Linked DNA regions of Arabidopsis thaliana. The protein of the gene in region 1 interacts with the protein of each later gene in a pairwise test. Each region holds a gene or a part of one and is shown in the gene's direction. Other genes may lie near its edges.

Region 1 (3,757 bases):
TGTTTGTTATCGGTTTGGTGCAGCCCGGTGTACATTAGGCAATTGGTAACAATATTGTTTAAATCTGTACGGAAAACAATGGGGTGAATTTGTCATAATATAGAGATAAGAGAGATCGAATTGCAAATATGATACAATTATTTGAAAATAGAAACGTTGACTATTGATAAGTTTTTGTACACGTGTCATGTATATATGGGACCCAGATCAAATTCTTCTTCTTAATCCAGCCAGCTTTGAATTTTGATATTTGATGAATCTCAATTAATTGTATGAGAAAAAAAAAGTTTCTCTCTTTAAATTAGTAGATCTTAGACTGAATCATAAACTTTTGATCTCTAATCTCAACAGATATGAAAATAATCACTTGATTCCATCATTTGCTTTTCTCTTAACTTTTTTTTTTCCGGAAAATAAGTTTTAATTTTAAACTATAGTAACAAAAATGATAGAAAGTACGTAGAACTCTGGAACTTACACATACTACGAACAACTACATTAGATAAAAGGAAACACAAGTCATGTACAAGATGTGAAGATTAGACGAATATCTTGGAGAAAAACTTTTAAAAATAAAAAATGTTTGAAAAGCAATTACTATGCATTCATATATATGTATAGACGAGGTACGTAGCTAGTCTAAGAAGATGTGATGATCAAGCCTTCGTTCTTGAGAAATTGGGGAGAAGATGGAGGCAGTGAATGAAATGAAGGTCGTGTACAAGAGGATTTCCGGTTCTCCTTGGTGGAGACCCTACGTACCACATTGACTCTATGGTTCCACCTTCTATCGGCTGCACCTACGACCACGATGAACATTTATATTTAAATAACACCCAAGATCGATTCATGCATGCAAGTTTGAAAAAATATTTTAAGAAATTAATTAAAACAAGTTTATGTTTTAGTATTCTCACAAAAAAGTTAAGTTTTGATATATCATTTTACATTTTTACCAATTTTCATATATAAATTAGATAATTTCATAGAAAATAGATGAAAAGGACTATTGTTTTGAAAAGGAAGAAATCTACAAATTAAATGTCTAATAGAAATGATGAAAGAAGCAAGAATGACGACGACCTTATCGATAATGCTGAGAACGTCGCTTCTTCCCTCCTTACTTTGTTGGCTGATTAAGGCACACACATGTATGATGAATGAATCATCATGATTAATTTCAAGAAACAAGAAGAAAATGATATATAGTTTCGATTGTTATAAAAAAAACTTTTGTGTTTACGTTTACAAACAAAAAGAATCATGTTCTTAACTTTTTGGAAAGCACAAACACAAATTACACCAAATGTATAAAAAACACAAACAAACAATCTAGCTAGACCATGTAATGTTACCAGGTGGAGGAGTGTAAGGAACACGAGAGAGGTTTGATGAAATCAGGAAGAGAATGACACACACGGCGTGGCTTAGGGCAAAGAGGCTGCTTCACTTCCGAATGATGTTGCATCTTTTCTATATTCCCTTAATCCGATCCAAAAGAACAATGTAGTTATTTAAATGTTGATCCTTTGTTAACTGGAGTCTGAAATGTAGTAATTAATTAGTTTGAAATCTATATATACAATATGTATCGTTCGTTTAAGAAGAAACTGAAGGATTGTGTAGTGATGAGTGAAGCCAAAGTTTGGTTATTCTCAGACAAAACATTACTTAGAAAGACGTGATCAATTTACATGTGGTGTCTTTATTTCGTGGTGAAGAGTGAAAGTAGGGTTGGTGTTCTTGACTACTCCCCCTCGTTTTTTGCCCTTGGTTATAAGGCCGAGTAGACATATCTAAAGGCCCAATTTGTGATAAGTAGAGAGAAGGCCCGTTTTGTTTTCAAGAGCCAGAGAGCAAATGGGAGGAAAGTGAGGAAAAGGGAAGGCACATGGGAGAGAAGTGAAGGGGAAAAGAAGAGCAGGTCAGGTGCAGGTGGAGTTGGATGTGGAAGTTGCACACGTATGTCTGTCTTCTTTCGCCAGCTAACCTTTCTCTCTAATCTCATTTCATCACGTGTCCCTCTCCCTTATCACTCACACATTTTATCTATATCTTTTTTTTTTTGGTTTTTTAACTATCAATCTTTTTCTTCTACATATATCTACCAATACAAACACTTGTCTATATCTGCAACACTTTTTTTTTACCTCTCCAAGTTATAAGGAATCGTCGAATTCGGAGTTGTGGGTTTAATTGATAACAGAATTAGTTATTTGGTATAAATTGTAAGTTATTACAAAGATAAAGGACCGTTTGGGTAAATAAAAAGAGGAAAGAAAAGTCAATTAGAGGAGAAAAGAAGGGTTAGGTTTAGAAAATCTGATCCAGTAAGTAATTTGAGAGATTGGATTGTCTGGTTAGAAGCAGTGGAGCCCTTTCCTTTCTCTCTTCTCTCTTTTCTCCTTTGCCTTCTTCCTCTCCGAGAGAAGGTCGACGCTACTTCTTCTTCTTCCTTCTTTCTTCTGGATCTGATTCGGATCCATCACTCTCTCTTTCTCTACATCAATTTGTTTTCTCAGATCTTCATCTTTTTTTCGTATACCTGTATTTGTCGACCTTTTCTCTCAATCACTAAACCCTCAAATCCTTTTTTTGGATTATAAGATTGCTTCTCTGATTGTAATTGCTTTGATGTGTATCAGTTGACTTGTGAAAAGTCTGCGAGTGACTTCTTCCTGTTTACACATCAGCTACTCCAGAATCTCTCAGGTACTAATTTTCTCAGAGTTTGAAAAAGTTTGGATTTTGATCTGATCCTTGTTGAATAAACTATTCCCTCTTGCTTATCTGATCCATTAACCAATTGGGTTTGCAGTTTTTTTAGTTTAAAGTTGGGTTTTTGATATCATTTTTGCTCAGCCAAGTCGAGAGTTTTCAGATTCTATTAAGCTTATAAAATTGTTGTTTTGTTCAGATCCTTACTTTTAATTCTGTTTTGAATTGCAGATTCTTAAAAGCTTAAATCTTTTTTCGACTTTGATTGTTTCTGTGCATCGCTTTGACGGATGTGGAGGAAAAAAGGGGTGTCTTGATGAAATGAGGGATGTTATCAACGTTAATGAAACTCTTGAGTGCTTGTCTGTGGCCGTCTTCTTCCTCGGGCAAGTCCTCTGATTCAACTGGAAAACAAGATGGATTGCTTTGGTACAAAGACTTTGGTCAGCACCTCGTTGGTGAATTCTCCATGGCTGTTGTTCAAGCCAACAACTTGCTTGAGGATCAGAGCCAAGTTGAGTCTGGGCCTTTGAGTACTCTTGACTCTGGTCCTTATGGAACTTTTATTGGAATCTATGATGGCCATGGCGGGCCTGAGACGTCGCGATTTGTTAATGATCACCTTTTTCAGCATCTAAAGAGTGAGGAAACTGAATGATATATGCATACCAGGTTACAAACCAACCGTGCGGAAACTAAAATCTTGTTTGAATTTTCAGGATTTGCTGCAGAGCAGGCCTCTATGTCGGTGGATGTAATTAAAAAGGCGTATGAGGCGACAGAAGAAGGTTTTTTAGGGGTTGTGACAAAGCAGTGGCCAACTAAGCCACAGATTGCAGCGGTTGGGTCTTGCTGCTTGGTGGGTGTTATATGCGGAGGGATGCTTTACATAGCTAATGTTGGGGATTCCCGTGCAGTTCTTGGAAGGGCTATGAAGGCGACAGGTGAGGTTATTGCCCTTCAGCTCTCTGCTGAACATAATGTGAGTATAGAGTCTGTTAGACAGGAGATGCACTCCTTGCACCCAGATGACTCGCAT
Region 2 (3,242 bases), on another chromosome or scaffold:
TATTTATCCCAGCATGTTATATAACAATGTGGATAGTGCAAACTATTGTTGTAGTCTGTATAAACAGAGACTGCTCTGTTTCTAGCATTTTTCATGCGAGCCACGTTTGCTTATTCATATTCAAAAACGGACAAAATCAAGCAGAGAATCACAATCAAGAACAGAACTTGCCAGCCATTTGCTTATTACTTCTCTGGCTTTTTATCATGAGATCCAATGAGAAATGTTTTGGAGAAGCTCAAGGTTGTGAAGATGATGGTGTAGGTGGCCTTGTTCCATGGCCGTTGGTGTTGAAATATGTCTCTTTATGTCTTTGAATTTTCCTCTGTCTGACAAAGAATGGGCGTGTTTAATTTTGAAGGGTGTTACTGATGCTGGTGAGTTTGTTTATACGCCAATGAGTGTGTATGAATCCTTCCATGTGGTGTATTTTGATCCAAAGAGAAAGAGTATTAGAGTAACCAAAATTAAAGGAATTGCAAATGACCTATATAGACGACTTAAAGGGCTCAGACTCGATTCTCTCAATGATCTCGATGTTTTCCCAAATAACATTGAGAGACTCTTGTTGTTGTAAGATCATTAATGGCTCAATGCTATTAATCACTTATGCGATATTAAGCTTCTTTGATTTCCTTAGGCTTTTCTTGTCATGATTTGTGATCATTCCTATGGTTTTACTATCATAACATGTTATAGAACAATTAATGTGGATACTGGATACTGCATGCAGACTATTGCATAAGATCCGTAAAACCCGAGACTGGTCTGTTCCTAGCATTTGTCAAGTGAGCCACGTCTCCTTCTTCAAATATTAAGATCAGGACGTACGACAAAAGCAACCAGAGAAATCACAACCAAGAACCACAAGCAAATGTAGCGAACTCAAACCCTCATGAAGTCTAGTTTAGCTTATCGTTGCTCGTCTTTTGTATCCACATTCATTTATCACGTTAGCATCTGGACGACAAAACCATCTAAACTCTCTTCTTATGTGTCCACTCTTACATCCACAAGTTTCAGAAGATTTCCGAGAGGCTTTTAAATTCGCTCAGGGAGTGCTAAAAAGGGTTTCTTGTAGTATACGAAACTCTCAAAACATCAATTCTAAGATGTGAGAAAGTGAAAAAAAATTGGTTATTAAGTGAGTGTCTTTACTATGCAGGATCATATTGATATACATTTTTGGTTATATTCCAAATATAGATTTTCATAAAATAATAGTTTTACATAAAATAGGTGTTGAAACTGTCCTTTTGCTTGTAGCCTCTACAGAAAAGCCGATAATCTTCTTTGAACTCAAGAGGCCTCTGAACAAAGCCATTTCTTGAGTCTGGAAAATCTAAATTTGAAGCTTCTGAGAAAAAGTTAGATGCTCAAAATTTTGAGGTCTGGATTGCTTCACTACTTGGTGAAGAGTTGGTTCTGTCTCTGGATGTATAAATAGATTGATAAAAGACTTCAAATCACCCTGAAACCATTCAAAGTAGGGGTGAGACATACACAAAGATAGTTTCACATGGTTCTGTTTTTTAGGTATGATAGATGACAAGTTGACAACGGAAGCTAATGAGCATTATCATCACTTCACAAGGGTCTGTCTTCTCCATGTCTGTATAATAAATGAAGAGAAGAAGTGAGGTATTCAGTCTCTTTTAGTTTTCATGTGTGGATATAATCAAAGAACAACTAGAGAGTGACATTGAATTGTTGTTCTGTTGTTGAATAACATTCAGGTCCCCACTTTAACTTCTTAATAAATCCATTTCGACTGCAGAGATTAGAGTACTATAGGACAAAGAACCAACCACCTAATCATCACAGAACCTGCTGTCTTTGTTCTTGCAAATATAGGGCACGTCTTATCTCAGAAACATTGAGAAAGCAAGCCCTTGTGAAATTTCACATGGAGATTATTTAAGTAGATAAATTTCATTAATGCATCTTTTCCAGATGGTAAAGACAGAACCATGTGAACTCTTGCTCTAGTCTGTCCCACGCTTCAAGACCACAGTTTCAATGACTTTTTCAGAGAAGTTTCAAATCGTTCATTGATATTTCTATATATACACCCATAACCCCATTATTTCTATCATCAACCAACAACAAGCATTCCAATAACTTGAATCTTTTCATACATCTTCAAGAGCTTCATAATAATTCAAACTTCTTTTATTTAAAATAAAATAAAAATGGCTTTCGTGAGAAGTCTATTGGGAGCAAAGAAGATTCTAAGCCGCTCCACCGCAGCAGGATCTGCGGCACCAAAAGGGTTTCTTGCGGTGTACGTAGGAGAGAGCCAGAAGAAGAGATATTTGGTGCCGCTCTCATACTTGAGCCAACCGTCATTTCAAGCTCTGCTCAGTAAATCCGAAGAAGAGTTTGGGTTTGCTCATCCGATGGGTGGCTTAACGATCCCTTGTCCCGAAGATACTTTCATCAATGTGACTTCTCGGCTCCAATGAAGATGATCCAACATTTTTTCCTTCAGTTAGAAATAGACTTATTCATTGTAAATACATGAGCTTTTTTCTCTTTCTTCTTGAAAGAGTTGTTCTAAAAGTGTAGAAAGTGAAATACAAAATTAATGTTATATACAAACTTCATGTCAATACATTTTTGATCGCTCATTGAAAAAGAAAGACGACACCAAATTCATCAATCAAAAAACTACTCTAATTATAGTTTCATGTTGATTAAAAACAATTAAGTGGAACATCTAACATCCGGATCCGTGGCGCAATGGTAGCGCGTCTGACTCCAGATCAGAAGGTTGCGTGTTCGATTCACGTCGGGTTCAATCCCCCGAACTTTATTCCGGATATCTTTTTGTTTTACCTGCTTATTTCCAATTTTTGCCTTTTGATGCACTACCCCCGGTTCGGGATTCTTGTTACTCTAACCGAGAATTTCAGATCCGGTTTTAGTATTTGTTTGCTACTCTGAATTAGACGGAAACAAATAACAAATGACCACTTTTAACTTACACAATTTATCAGTGGCTGGCTCTTACGTATAGTGTGGGGGTTACATTTAGTTGATGTCTCCAGTGACATTTGATTATAGTTTTCAAGATATTGTCAAGCAAAAAGGAAAAGAAATTTACTTTTGAATTCCAAACTTCTGTTTGTATTTTATTCTATAAATAACATTGCTTTCTCCTTCCAAATAATAAAGACAAGTATACATTGCCCAAAAAGGAAAACTATAGAGACACGCACTAGTTAGGGTTGATGTGGACT

What was found. The genes of interacting proteins can lie anywhere in the genome.
Region 2: the proteins of AT3G51370 (region 1) and SAUR19 interact in a two-hybrid assay, tested with the Arabidopsis thaliana proteins (one study listed by BioGRID).

The regions. Positions count from the first base shown.
Region 1 is NC_003074.8:19,067,008-19,070,764, forward strand, and holds the start of AT3G51370 (Protein phosphatase 2C family protein), read left to right. Parts: upstream 1-2,119; 5' UTR 2,120-2,712; intron 2,713-2,949; 5' UTR 2,950-3,046; coding exon 3,047-3,359; exon of another isoform or gene 3,360-3,379; coding exon of another isoform or gene 3,380-3,437; coding exon 3,438-3,757. UniProt on the Arabidopsis thaliana protein: May dephosphorylate and repress plasma membrane H(+)-ATPases (PM H(+)-ATPases, e.g. AHA1 and AHA2), thus influencing negatively plant growth and fitness.
Region 2 is NC_003076.8:5,962,256-5,965,497, reverse strand, and holds SAUR19 (SAUR-like auxin-responsive protein family), read left to right. Parts: upstream 1-2,092; 5' UTR 2,093-2,192; coding exon 2,193-2,465; 3' UTR 2,466-2,725; downstream 2,726-3,242. UniProt on the Arabidopsis thaliana protein: Provide a mechanistic link between auxin and plasma membrane H(+)-ATPases (PM H(+)-ATPases, e.g.